2 linked regions of the Alligator mississippiensis genome follow. The protein of the gene in region 2 purifies or fractionates together with the protein of the main gene of each other region. This does not show direct contact. Links are inferred from orthologs where the notes say so. Each region holds a gene or a part of one and is shown on either strand. Other genes may lie near its edges.

Region 1 (7,398 bases), on a different chromosome or scaffold from region 2:
TGGCACCCTGGTTGAGAGCCACTGTTCTAATAAAACAAGAACAAAGGTTCCTTTGTAAAGTGAATATACTGAATTGCAAGCTGAAAGCTAACAAGCTACATAGTATATACATATGAACTAGTTCCGGAGCAAAGGAGCCATTGATATTTTTATTTCATAACTGAGGCTGTAGTAATTTAAAGCTAACCAAAAATACTACCCTGTTTGGGTCTGGTCACTAAAGGTACTACTCACATGCCTCAAATTAAATGTGTGCATAATCATTTGCAGGCCTGGGGTCCAAATTATCTGATTTAAAATGAGTAGCTAGTCTTATCAAAGAATGCAAGTTCTTCAGAAATTAAAGTATTAGGTGAATTAATTACATGATTACAAAAGTTGCATTTTAACACCACTGCTCTATCATGTTTGATCTGTTTATGATGAGAAGTTTTTTTTCTTTATGAAGAGTCAGCTATTACTTTTCCCTTCTGTATTAATCACAAGCTGCCCAGTACATGTGTTCTTAAATATGCAGGTTATTCAGAAAGAATGGTATGGGCTGTTTATGTTGTACATAAGGGGAAAGTCACTATCCCCTTTAACTGTCCTCTCCAAGGACAGCAATGACTTGTTGAACAGTTGTGGGAGAAGTTAAAACACATCACAAGATGCTGTTTTCCAATACCATTTAGCCTATGCAAATCCAAAGAACAGGGTATAAAGGATAGCTTCAATGTATAATCTTTACAAAGAAGCAAAGCAGGCAAACTTAATTTGTGTCCCTCACTCCATGTAAAAATTAGCAAGTATAATACCAACAGGTTATTCAAACTTCAGTTTAGGTATACCAAGCCCCCAGATTTAAGTGACAAACATTCCTTCCATATACTCCTTGCTCGCTTTGAAGCCAATTTTGAGAGAAGTATTATTGAACAGACCTGAACCAGGTTTTCCTATTTGATCATGAAAATTCAGTAGAAAGAGTTCTAGTCAAAAAGTAATAGAAATGTAACTTCTGAAATCTGTTCCCTCCCCACAGTTCTTTCCCTCTCCATTTCAAATACTGTAAGTAAAGACCATCTGTTCCTCTCTCTCATCCTCTTCTCTGCACGTACATTAGGCCTAATTCTAGCTATTAATGGCACAAGCATTCTCAAGAGATGCACTGAACTGCACAAGCTGACTAGTATGTATAAAACTGGTTTTAAGGACCAAATGAGTGCAAACCGTTTTTTCCCTCTGAATTTAACACCTTTTTTCCAAGACTGTTTTTGCATAGCAGTTTGCCAAAGCAACCAGCCACACCAGGGCAGTTCCATTATTACTACTGCTACAGGAATAATTACACATTAACTTCTAGATTGTGAAGTCACACACCATCTGACAAAGCTTCAGGGAAATCAAGGCAATAAAGAAAAACTCTCTACAGAAATTTACAAGACGCCAGTTAAAATTATCATGGTTTCACCCATTCTGAATGAATAAAGTACTTGCCTTGTAAAAGGTACATCAATAGCGAACCTAAGCTGTTCATAAGTGAATGTATCACAGTCAAATTAGATCTGCAGGTGTTTGGCAAGCTCTGTTCCAAGCACTGACTATAGCTTGTCTGTCTTGATCTAATGAGACTTACAATTTTCTTATTTCCTTATTTGTGCATGGTTATATAACCATATATTTATACAAAACGTTTGTTAACTGGTGCTCCCTCTGCTGAGCATAGAAAAAACTGACCATCTCTCCCTCCCTCTGCACTTACAGCAGTTCATTTGAATATGGTGTGCTACATGAGCTCAAATATTTCAGAATCCAAAGAATGCACACCAAGTCATTTTAAGTACTGCAAGCCATTTTGAGATTACATTTCTTAAATTCCTTTTTTTTTAAAAGGATACCCCCCAAAAAAAATCTGTATGCAGCTACTCTTACAAACAACCCCTCAGATTCCTGTAACTGAAAGACATAGTTGTATTGATTTTGTGCATCTGACTGCAAGCCAACTAGTTTTCAAGCTATCCTACCTCCTTTAAAACAAACTGGCTATAACAACTTGCTACAGAGTCCTTGCTTATTTATGCAAGCCAAAAATGAAAATACATCATTTGGCTCATAACGAGCAAGAAAACTGACTGATGATGATTTAACGACACCAAAGCATTAAGAGGCTTTTTGAAGTAATTTAGAACAGAAGTCCAGCTTATGAACTGGCTATGTTCTTTAACTTGGTTTTGTTCAAAATATCATTATGATGTTAAAAGGTGCAGCTCTATTATTGGCTATAGATCTGCACTCTAAAAGATAACATTACCGACTGAATAACCATCACCAACAAACCACCTCTCAGCTGAAAAACGAAACCGAGCCATTCACCTCCCACCAACCGGCAGGGTGACCTGAATCACACATTACGGAGCTTTATTTTCTAACAGGACTTTTCTTAGGATAGACCTGTACCAAGCGATGGAGACAGCTGCCCAGCTTTGCACAGCAGAGAAATCAAGTGTTACTGGGGCTTTGCAACAAAGTTATTTGCAAATCCTTCAGAGTGAAGGCCTTTTCTCTTAGATCTTTACAAACCTGCTCTACAACAGAAGAGAAAATACAGGCATACTACCTTCATTTTTGTTTTCCTTATATTTATTCATGGGATCCTACTTGGTGCTCTTAAGATTTAGCTGATATTTTACACCCTGACTGAATGCATTTACTGGACTGATCACCTTCTCAGATCAGTGTGCGTGTGTGGGGGGGGGGGGGGGGGCATGCAGAGGAGGCAGAGAGAAAGAAATAGATATAACACCAAATAACAGCTTTACCATTCTAGAAACACCAATGCCCTAAAAAGCTAACCCGCTCCGTGGGATTTAGAACGCCAAACAATCCAGGTCTCCCTCCTTTCCCCGCCTCTAGCGCTGCTGCTGCGAGCAGGGCACGAACCGCTGCTATCATGGAAGGCAGAAGAGCTGGGAAAAGAGTCTCAAGCGCTTCGCCTTTTCCCAGGCAGCAGTCAAATACCTGCAGCCGCGCCACCACCTCCCCCCGCAGGAGCCTTCCCCTGCCGCCTGCCCCAGCAGCTCCATCCCCCCTGCAACAAAGACCCTCCGACCGCGCTGCCTCTGCCTCGGCCTCGCTCCCGCTCCAGGGGGAAGCCCGTAGCGGCCTGGCCACGCGGCGGGAGAGAAAACCCCGCCGCCGAGAGCGGAGCGGAGCGGGGCCGCTCGGGCAGCGGCGAGTGACAAAGAGCCGGAGCCGGAGCCGGCGCCTCCCCCGGCCGCTGTGGGCTGCGCGCAGCTCCCCGCCCGCCCGCCGCTCTCGGCGGCGCTCTCTCTCTCCCTATTTAAAGGCTGCCGCGGTGTTTAAATGGAGAGGCGGTGACGTGGGGCTGGAAAGCACCTTCCCATCCTGGCAGAGTCTATATTAGAGAGCGGCAATAGCTCTATATAACCCGGGCCGCCGCAGGGAGGAGGAACACAAGGCGGGGGAGCAGCCAGGCCGGCGGGAGCCATGATGGATCGGCCGAGACGGGCGCAAACAAGGGGCCGCGGCCGGGGCCGGGCCGGAGCGGTGCGTTGGGGCAGGGGGCGCGGGGCCGGGGGTGTGTGACTGCTTGTTGCAAACCGACGGGCGCTCCCAAGCAGCCGCCGCCCACGGGAAGCCGACTGGGGCCGGGGCCGGGCCGGGCGGGCTCGTGGGGCGGCGGGCGGGAGAGGGAGAAGGAGGAGGACGAGAAGAAGGCCCCGAGCCCGCCACCCGCCCCGGCCCGGCCCCCCCGGTGCTTACCACGGGGTTTGTGTTGGCCGCGCTCGCCATGTCCCGCGCCCCCCGGGCGCCCCCACCGCGGCCGCGGTCGCCCCCGTGAAGCGAGAGACGTGCCCGGCGCCGGTGCCGCCCCCTTAATGCCCAGCACAGCCCTGGCTCCCGGGCGGCGCCGCGGCCTAGCCTGGCCCGGCCTCTACTCCCGGCCCCGGGCTGCAGCCGCCGCCGCCAGCCGCCGCTCTGCCCGCTTTGCCCCTTTATATAGCGAGAGCCGAGCAGCTGCGCGAGCGGCCGGGGAGCGCGGGGGCGCGGGAGGGGGGCAGCTCTCGCGAGAGCTGGCGCCGGAGCACGGCCCCCGCGCGGTCACGTGCGAGGGAGGGAAACGGGCGGCGCGGCCGCCATGACACCTAGAGAGGCGGAAGTGCGCGGTGCGGGGCGCCTCGGTGGATATGTCCGCTGGGGGCTGAGCGCGGCTGGGCTGGCGCGCGCGACTGGTGACGCGTCTGATCGCGTCAACGCGGCGGCGACTTAGCGTTCCACGACGGCGCCGGGCAATGTAGCGCCCGGCCGTATTGAGCCTAGTAGGGGCTCACCCCGTGGCCCTTTGACTGGATTGCTTTCAGTAGTCACCCGGCTGATTCCCGCAGGGTCCTGCCCAATCCGGGAGGGTTGGCAACCCCAGCTGCGGAGGAGCTGCACTGTTACATGCATGCAGTCCTGGGGTGCCTGCCCTTAGGCCCCAGGGCTGCAGCAGGGAAGCAGGGGAAGAGGCTCCCCCCTGGAGGCCAGCAGGGCCCAGGCAGAGGGAAGATCCCAGCAGTTAGTGGGGGACTTGGGTTCACAAAACTACATGGCAAAGAGAAAATCAGTGGGGAGTCATTATTGGCTCTCACAAGACAAGAACAAGCGACCACAACTTGAAGCTGGCAGGAAGAGCCCTGGTCGAGGTAATCGTACATCCCCTTTTTGCTAGGACAGTCCCCTATTTGAGCCCTATCCCAGGTGTCCCCACTTTTTTTTAATTGGCTATTTGTCCCGTTTTCTTTTGCCAGCTGAAGTATTGCATATTCAGTAAAGCATTTTTCACATGGCATTACATATAAAAGAGATGTAATTGCATTTTTTTCCTTCCCTCCATTTCACAATAACATCCCAACATTTTACCACTTGGTTTGATTTACAATAGGTGATGGCAGCGCACGGCGGCAGCTCTGGGATCTACCCACATGAGGTGCACATACAATGCATGGTCAGCTGCAACACATGAGGTTACAGAAGTTATCAGTAGTGTTTGCTATAAAATGTCACAAACATGTCTGTTCCTGTAAGGAGGACCTACAAAATCAGCCAAGTTGTATGACAGACTTGTGGAGAAAGCAATCTGGGTTCATGGTAGAGGTGATACATTTTATTAGACCAACAAGATTTTTTCAAAAAAAATTCTTTAATTGCAAGACTTGTGGCAGCTGCTGTGACATTACTCAGCACCTTCAAACAAAAAAACAGGCCAAAAGTACTAAGTATGCAACTCCAAGCATTTCAGATTTTTTTTTTTTTATTTTTGTTAAGCAAAACAAAAAATGTGATTGGCTTTTTGTTAGTCACATTTTTGCCAGTGAGGGACTGTTTGCTTACCACTCTGTGTCATGGACACCTTTTTGGGTCAAGTGACTACATCACATTAAGAAACTCTACCAACCTAAGTTTTCATCTGCTCACACAAAATCCAAGGCAATAATTTGCAATGTATTAGCTCTTTTATCAACAGAAGAAGTGCATCGTGATTTGGAGAAGTGCTCATTTATTATGCTTAATGTGGATGCATCGAACAAAAAGGAGCAAAAGCTGTTTCCTGTTCTCGTATGCTTTTTTCTTCCAATTAGGGGAGTCAACACAAAAATAATAATTGAGTTTTCTACTGGGTGAAACATCTGATGTGCAGCGGGCATTTCTCTAGCAAGTGATTGAGAAGTACTCTCTTGGTGCAAAGCTCGTTGGAATTTGTGCAGACAATACCAACACTAACTTTGGTGGTGCCAGACATCCTGGAAAAAACAATTTGTGGCAAAAACTCCAAGCCAAACTAAGAGTTGAAGAGCTGAAAGACTTCTGCCAATTTGTCAGTCTTGAGTATTTTAAATGACTACAGCACAGCAGCACACAAATCTTGTCACTGGGACCAGTGCTGGATAGAATTTTGTTGATTTTCTATGGGCTTAAAGCATGTTTCCTTTCTCAAGAGAAATGGCTGACACTGTTAAAAGAAGTCTTCAATGACCCTAGCACTAAATTGTAGCTTGCCTTTGCCAGTAAACAAACAGCCATGTTTCAGAAGAACATAGAGGCAATTAAGAAAAATGATGTGTCAGTGACAGAAGTTGCTTTGCAGATACATTCCCTGTGGGATAACTTAGCAGAGAGACTTAGACAACAATTTGTCCCAACAAAAGCAAAGAGCCTACTGCAGTCTCTTGTAGATTGTCAGCAAATGAAGGAAGAAGAATTTTACAATGCAGAATTTTACAATGCCTGTCTTACTTGGAGTACTGGAAACCTGCTTTTGAGCGTGCCAAAAAGCTTGAGTGGGCCCTGTCAAGCAATATGCCAGTGTGGGATGAAATATAAGACAGCTTCGCTACATGCCACACTAGAATTCCTACCTTAAGTATGTTGGATGAGAATTGCCCTTTTAAGTGAGCCAGTGCAAAATCAATCATCTCATCATCTTTCTGACTGCAACCATCAGTGAATTCCCATTGCTGAAAGGTGGCTGTGCATTTTTCAAGAGATGGACAGCAAGATAGTACAATATGCAGATCTAGCTAAGGCTGTGGAATTCGTGTTGCGTTTCCTGGGCACAACCGCCCCCCGTTCAATGTGTGTTTTCTAGAATGAACAATGTGTGGTCTCCTGAAAAATCACATCTGCATGTCTCTACCATGAAGGCTATGTGAATTAATTTTGATCTGGATTGTACTGTGTTCTGTGACAAGCTGCTGAAAGACAAGCAGGCCCTCTAAAAGATAGCATCATCAGAGAAATAAAGGTGGCAACAAGCAACTTCACACCCTGAAGGACAGCAAGACAAGGAAAACATCAGTAACCACTTTATTGTAAGTGCATACTTTCACTGTTTATGCTGTTTGTAAGGGGGAAGCTACTGTATTGGCTAACTTATGAAGTCAAATCCATTCAGTCTCTTTAAAGTCATATTAAGAGCATGTCACTATATTGTGTATTTTTCTTATATGTTTTTGCATATGTAATTGAACTCCCCTGAACACTAGTAAAATCTCACCCAGGTGTTCTGGTTTCAACATGGGGAAGTATAGTCATGCAAGTCATAGTCATGGAGAAGTAGGGCTGGAAGGGACCTCCAGAGGTCATCTACTTCAACTGCCCTGCCTGAGGCAGGATCATGGTTTTCTATCACATCCCATACAAGCCATCATCTAAACTCTATATAAAGCTGCTGTCAGCCCTGACACAACATAGACCTAGCACTCTAACCTGCCACACATAAAGCAGTTGAAGCATTGCAGCCACTGTCCTGCTTCTATGAAATGTTGTATATACACTCAGGATGTCCCAGGTAGAGGGCTATGCCCCCTACTTTGGAGGAAGGCAAAAATCCCCACAGTTCATACTAATCCCAAGTAC
Region 2 (7,476 bases):
GAAACAAAGAAATACTAAAAATCAATTACTTTTCTCCATTTACATTGTACATTTGTTTTGTTCTTTATTCATTTTGCTTGCTCCAAAGAAAGAACCAAGTCAGTTTTCAAAATCTCATGCAAGTACATATACAACCAAAAGTTTGTAATTTTTTAAAAATAGTGAGCATGAGGATGCCTTTCTTCCCTCCAAGGCCTAACATTCCTGACACTATCCCAAAAGAAAAATATGAAGGAGACATGCTAAGCGCACTAGAAAGGCAAAGCTCATCTCAGTGACAGCTGACTAAAAAGTAGCAAGTTTCCTAAAATGAAGCCAAGACAGACCTCCCATCCCCCACTTCAAAAAAAGAAAGTACTTCTTTGGCAGCAGGTGAAAACATGATTCATATCAAGTAGCACTCACAGACCCTGCATAGGACTTAGCCCCATTTGTAAAGCTGCTACAGAAATAAAGTGAAAGACAAAGATCTTGAAACACTTGTCCCTCAAGAAGAAAGCAATGTACAGTGACCCAAATGAGTGGTAATTAGCACAGAGTGTACAGGTTCTTCTCTGGATGACTGACAGTCATATCATCAAAAAATTAAGATTAACTACTTCAAGACAACATTGTACATTCCCCCTCTCCACAATCACCAAGAGAACTGGCAAGCTCCAGTGACAGCACCTGCCCTGGGGGCAGGCCATGGACACCTTTGTCCACCACCCAGATGCAGCAGTATCTTCAGCCTGTCCCTTCTGCAAAGAGGAAACGGAGGAGACTGCTCCATGCTTTCCTGGCCTGCACATGGCTGTGGCCACTCTTTGCTGCCCTCTTTGGTGCACTGGATTTGGCCTTCTCCCAGACTCTACATTTCCTCTATTCTGTACCAAGCAGCTGAAGGGATCATGCTCTGCCTGGCCAATTTCCTGCTGGGCCAGGCCAAGATGGAGAGCCTGAATAGCCACAGAAGCCAGCTCTGACAGCACCCTCCAACTGTTCCACTCCTTGGTTCAGGAGCGCATCACATTTGAATCTGGACACATCACCTTGCAACAAAATGTGGACTAGTTTATGTCTCACTGGGCTATTGAGGGGGCACTCAGGAAGACGGATGGCTAGTCATACATGTGTAACCCCATGAAGGCTATTGGGAAAAGGGTATCTTAATCTCTGGCAATATGAATGTTTTCATTACTGACAAGTGTTTCATGCTTGGACCCTGGGAGGGTCAACACACACTTTTGCACTTTCACCTTCTGTTTTTAATACTTATAACAGAGCTTTAAAAAAAAAAAAAAAATCAAAAGTCTCTCTCTCTCATAAAGCACCAAACAGCAATAAAAGGGGGTCCCATTCTCTCCTTTCAGATAGATTTCTAAAGTTTATTTTTAGTGTCCCAAGAAATGGGATTTAAAGACATTAGACAAGTCCTGAAGTTATGTGATCTTGCTGGCAAGGAGACATCCCTCAAAACTTGGGAGCGTCAGAGCTACTGGCGGGTTTGGAAGTTCTCTGTCCAAAGCCATTTCCTAACTTCCTGCCACAGGAATGGCACTTCACACCTTTTCTGTGGCAGTTAGTCTGCTATGAAAGGAAAGGTTATTATGAAGCAAATGTCCAGGTCTAGCAAGGTTTACTCTGCCTCCAGGCAGTGAATATTTTCTGCTGAGTGAAGACCAATTATATTCCAAGGAAAACCTCAGCACTTATGCAAATTAAGCGCCCAACTAGAGCAGTAGTACTTCTTTACAAAATTAAGCAAGCATTAATCCCAAGACACCATTTAGTTTTGGTGTTATTTCCACTGTGCCAAGTAACTGCTGCTGTTTTAATCACTTCCCCATATGGACAGTGCAACACAATGACAAAACCAGCCAAACTCCCATTAACTAAGTTGGCTCAAGGCGCACCTCAGAAAACGCCAGTTTAGTCTTCACTTGGTTTTTTGCTCGATTATGGGAAAATAACACAGCTGTCCTTCTGTTGCAGAAATCTCAGGCCACAGCAGGGCTGGATTTTAGCTTTTTGCGCTACAGCTTCTGATTTGAAATCATTAGATGTACCTTGGGAACCACGTCTGTGCAGCTAACGGGTGCCAGCAATATGTGGCACCTCTGGAAGGATCTCCAGGCCCCCGGGGAAGGGGGGTGGGAGGAGGCTGCCACCTGCCAACGAGGGCGAAAAATCCCATCCCGCGGTTCTGCTGGTCCCACAGAAGACTCCCACAGGACACTCTCCTCTCACAATGGGGGACCCTTCCCACAGGCGCCCCACTGCCCCGCCTGGAGCCCACAGACCTTCCGTTTTATTATTCCTCTCTCGGTGGCCTCCCTCTTGAAGACAGGCTTATAGTTTTTTTTCTTGGGGGGCCCACGTTCCCTGAAGACTAACAAACAGGCCTGGAAGGCACCTCAGAGCACTTGTGCACCATGCCCCCCTCCAGCTGCCAAGACCCTGCACGGCCCTGCAAAGGTGCCCTCCCCCCTTCCCAAACTAAGAACTATCCCTGCACCACCCAGGCTGCCCCCTGGCGCCGAACGCCCCTGCGCACCCCGCCCCCCCGCACCAGTTGCCAGGCAACAGCCGTTTCGCCGCGGGGAGGGGGCAGGTGCTCCGAACACTGCCCCCGTCCCCCCGGGCGCGCGAGGCCATAACCGCCCCCAACGGGCCGCGGCGGCGCCCGAGGAGGGGGAGGGGCGGAGGGAGCGGGCAGGCCCGCCATCCCCACCCCCCGCAGTGCCAGCACCGGGCCCGGGCCCGGGCCCACCCGCGGGCCCACAGGGGAGGGAGGCCGCGGCCGTTACCGTGTGGGCAGGCGGCGGGCGGGTGGGTGTCGGCGGCGCGCGGGCCGGTTGCTACGCGCCGCCCCGCCCCTCGCGCCCTTTGTTGTTCCGGGTCCTGGGCCGCGTCGCGGCCACAATCAACATGGCACAAGGCTGGAAGAAGAGGGAGAGCGGCGATCATAGAGGCGCGGCGCCGGCTAGACCGCCCGCCGGAAGAGCCACCGTTCTTCCAGCCCCGCGAGGAGGGGGGTTGTCACGCACTTCCGGCGCCCTAGGCTCCGAGCCGGCAGCTCGCAAGCGTGACGCGAGACGCTGCTGGGGGGTGGGGCGGAGCTTGCGGCCACCGGCTCTAAGCCCCGCCCTCCGCGGGGCTCCCGGGCGGTGGGCGTGTTGCAGCCCAGTCTTTCCGTGCGTGTGTTGCCTGGTGCGGGCTCGGCGCCCACTCACTCCTTAAGGCCTCTGGTACACTTTGGGCATATGTGTCATGTCACGGAGTGGTTAAAAGCACAATAAATGGGGACGAGCCCCTGCAGAGTGGTCGTGGCACCATAAGAATGGCTGTCCAGCTACAAAAAATCGCCAGGCCGTCAGAAGGCGCCTGCATGAAAATCACCTAGAGCAGCGGCGGGCGATGATTTGGGCCGCAGGGCAGTTTTGATAAGCTGTTGCAGGCGGTGTCGGCATCCTTCTACCTTCCCACCTCAGAAAGCTCACCAACAGTCCCCATGGGGCTGGGGCGGGCAGGGAACAAGTGTTTGGGGGGTAATGCAGGGCTAGGTCATGGGGTGGCGATTGCTGTGGGCTGGGCCCTAAATGTCCCTGCCCTGGGGGGGCCTGGGAGCCTGCAGGGGGTGAAAGGGGGCAATGGGAACCTGAGGCAGTGGGATCCATGGCTACCCTATGGTTCTACACAGGGTTAAGTCCTGCCCACTTGTGCCAGGGCAACCCTTGCTGCACTCCTGTTGGTGTCTCCTAGGATGGAGAAGCCACAAGATGTGTAACAACTCTAGCCAGTTTCTATCCAACTTTCATTTGAATATGGATCTGGGCCCTTAGAAAATGCACCCTCTCTCCCCCTTATCCAAAGGTGAGAGAGGCAAGGATGCATTTGTGATACCTGTATTGTTTTGCATACAACACCCTCTCCCAAAACCCAGCTCTTGGAAATTGTGTGGGTGTCATAAATAAGGAAATACAGTAACAGCAGTTCTGCCTTGGGGAAGGCAGAGAGGAATGAATGCCACCATGTTTGTGCTGGGGAGGGAGCAGGGGCAGGATGGTTAACACAGTACTGCTGGCTGTGGGCATGATCTCTTCCCCATTCTCGGTGAAGACTCCTGCTGCAGAAGCTGCTGCTCAGTTACATGGCTTATCAGTACTTTTAAGAAGAGATCTTCTTTCCCCTTCATTCTGCCTTTCAAAAAACAAGGTGTCTCTCATTTGGGAGCATGTTGTATGTGATAGAATATGGTATCTTTTATTGGCCCAGCTGAGAGAGAAGTCACTCAAGCTTTTGGGCACAGGGCAACTGTGCAGTTGGTCTAATAAAAGATACCACCATAGAACCTTGCTTAGTGTCATAGGCGATGTGTGTGTTGGGGGGGGCACAGGGAGGCACGTGCCCCCCCCCGAGAGTGGCCGCTGCTAAAGCCACTGCTGGCTTCTGCAGGTGGTCGCCGCCACCCCTTGCTACTGATGCAGCCAACAGTATGGACGGCAGCTATGGGTGGTCCCTGCTCACTGCCTGCTGCTTGCCCCCCACCCCTGTGCTCGCCACTGACATTGCTGCGGCTGCCTGCTGGCAGCCTCCGCTCGGCCCACCCCCACAGTCGACACCACCACTGCCGCCTACAGGTGGTCGCCATGCCACCCCAGCCTCCAGGGGCACATGTTGTTCATGCTTAGTGTCACCTGCAGCCAGACTTAGGCTGCTCTAGTGTGACAGCAGTGTTGTGAAGGCACTGGTGACAAGAGTGAGGGCCTTGGGCTTCCATCTCAAAAGCCTCAAGAGATTAATATTCACTTGCTGATGTGCCACTCTAAAATGTAATTTAGACTCAAATTATAGCAGGAACAGCAGATTCACAGGAATAAGGTGGGGATATTCTGAATACTGTAGTAAGTGGTTATTAACATTTTTAGGCCCAGGACACCCTTCATTAGACTCACAGAACCTCTCAGAAAGTACCAGCTCTTAGTTTTCACTTATTTTTTGATGACGGAAAAGTAATACAGCAATGTTTCTATTGCAAAGAACTCAGAAAGACTGCAAGAGGTCAGAATTTTTTAACACTGTGGATTCTTAACTGAAATTTCTGGGTTTAATTTATGAAACATGTTTGTGCACCTTAAAGTGCTAGCATGATGTTGCATACTGCAGCAGCCCTGAAAGGCACCCTAGGATGCCATGGTACCTTGGTTGAGTATCATTGCTGTTGTACTTAGGAAATTTGGAGCTCAAGGTTCCTAGGCTTTTACTCTAAGTTTTGCAATGGACTTGGAATGTCCTCTGGAAAACTTCCTGCTCTTTAATTTACCCTCCTGTGAGAATAAATAGACCAACAATGTGTAGTGAAGCTTTGGACTTTAATTTTTTGAGCTTAGAACCTTTGCAAGATAGTATGATTTATTTGAGGTTTCCTGAAACTTTAGTTGTATAATTCTGTGCTTGCCACCTAAGAAATGATACAGAAGCAGCACTGATTGTTTACAACAAAGGAAACAGATTTACATTTGTCGTGCTGAAACTCTAGAAAAAATTGTGTTTTCTATTTTTACTTTAGTTCTTAACCTCTAGAATATATTTTATTATATTAAAACAATTTCATGGTGTCAGGAATAGTTTTTCCAGATCCCCATTTCTAATCTTTTATCTAGACTGGGAGAATGTTAATTAAAATATTACTTATTATAGTGATTATTAGCTTTTGCTTGCATTGATGATCATGCATAGTACTGCCACCATGTGGCTAGTAGCATGAATAGAACTTTTATTTCACTTAACTAAAGACAAAGAAGCGTTTGAAAACAAAATTTGTTATCTTGCGGTTCAGTGACACCCTAGAGAATCTCTCACAGTTCTCTGGGATCTCTCATGAGGCTGGTGTCTTTTTCCTTATTGATGGTCATCTTCTGTGTTGCCTTTAGGTGTTACAAATAAGCCTTCAGTTACTACACTGATTTCTATTGCACCTTCTGTGAAATTCAGTGATTCATTCGAGGTGCTATATATACCACAACAAATATTGCTGAGTTTCAACTAAGGAGGACAAATCACCCATCTGTAAATTGCATGGCTGTCCAGTCATGTTAATTAGAAAGGGCAATAAACTCTGGTTTAGCTAAACTTTGACTTTGCTGTCCAGACCTCTGAATTTTAGCATGTTCTTCTCAATGTTTTTCTGTGACAAAAAAAAGGCTGTCAAAAATTACTCATCTTCTACAAAGCTGCTGTTATGTTTTCAGGTTTCTCACCCTGTCTTATTTTTTGTTATAAGTTTCATGTAAGGGTGGAGTCATGACCTTGGTGTTTCAAAACCATTTTTTATGATAAATGAAAATTATTCCCCACCTTATTTTGAGGTCCCAACTACCTCGTTTGTCAATGGCTCCTTAATTGTACTAGTATATTTTCAAGAGAGCCTCTAATTGTGCAGTGGTAAGGAGGCTCAGGCCCATGCATCTATAATCATTGTATTTACCAATAGGCAACTGTATCTGCAAACAATAAGGATTAGTGTGCAACCAATATTTGCGCATGTAACTTGCACATTAGTCATATAAGCACACTGGTTTACATGTGCATGTAAGTACAGCATTATTTAGACATATGGCATCTGTACATGTGACAGAGCTCTGGTCCGATGCATGCTAATTAGTACACATTGGTGCAGACTCGATTAATCAAGTTTACTGGAGCATGCTAATTAGCGTGCTCCAGCAGTCTCTACATCACGCTGGCGGTGGGGGGCACTTTAACTAAAGTTCATCAAATGAGCTTTAGTTAAAGCAGCCCACTGCCAGTTTGAAGCACAGGATGCTGAATACACGTGACGCTGCAGGTGTTTTAATTAGAGTGGCTCTGACGGCGCCCCCCCCCCCCCTTACCCCAGAGCACGTGTACAGACTCCCTTTGATGCTTAGCCAAACACAGTAAGGCTTTTTTTCCTGCCCTTTGGCTGAAATCTTCCTTTTTCCCCTCAACATCACCTCTGATTAATTGCTCTACCTGCAAGGCTTTGTGGTTGCTTTTTTCACCTATATACCTGTACTACAAAGACTCTCCACTGGAATGCTGTGGCACTTAGAGTGCCTTTTGAGGTTCCCTGGGGTGCCATATAATATTAACACTGTTAACAAGTGAGCCAACATGATTCACAAGATAAACCTAGATATTTCAAATAGAAATCCATGGTGCTAAAAATGTTCTTACCTATTTTGGTCTTACTGGGTGTATCTATACCAGATGTTTACTGTAGAGCTGCCTAATTGGTTTTGCAGTAAAATGTCACTGTTTACATGCACGGTACTATTAGGACACAGCAAACTAATTAACTCTGCCATAGGTTAGTACTTGTAAACACAAGTACTATCCTACAGTGCAACACACATGTAGACCTACCAGCTAGCCCTACACTGAAGCACCCTCATGCCTCAGCCAGCCCCTCTGCAGCATGTTGAGCCAGGCCAGAGCAGCTCAGGCTGGCAG

The links. The genes of interacting proteins can lie anywhere in the genome.
Region 1: the proteins of TBPL1 (region 2) and GTF2A1 purify together in Homo sapiens (affinity purification with mass spectrometry; 5 studies listed by BioGRID and IntAct, counting the BioPlex papers as one, with this or other methods). This does not show direct contact. The link is inferred for Alligator mississippiensis from reciprocal best matches to the Homo sapiens genes TBPL1 and GTF2A1.

What each region holds. Positions count from the first base shown.
Region 1 is NC_081825.1:266,198,158-266,205,555, forward strand, and holds the start of GTF2A1 (transcription initiation factor IIA subunit 1), read right to left. Parts: upstream 3,012-7,398; 5' UTR 2,932-3,011; coding exon 2,833-2,931; intron 2,822-2,832; exon of another isoform or gene 2,802-2,821; coding exon of another isoform or gene 2,799-2,801; intron 1-2,798. UniProt on the Homo sapiens protein: TFIIA is a component of the transcription machinery of RNA polymerase II and plays an important role in transcriptional activation. TFIIA in a complex with TBP mediates transcriptional activity.
Region 2 is NC_081824.1:116,440,641-116,448,116, reverse strand, and holds the start of TBPL1 (TATA box-binding protein-like 1), read right to left. Parts: upstream 3,001-7,476; 5' UTR 2,790-3,000; intron 1-2,789. UniProt on the Homo sapiens protein: Part of a specialized transcription system that mediates the transcription of most ribosomal proteins through the 5'-TCT-3' motif which is a core promoter element at these genes. Seems to also mediate the transcription of NF1. Does not bind the TATA box.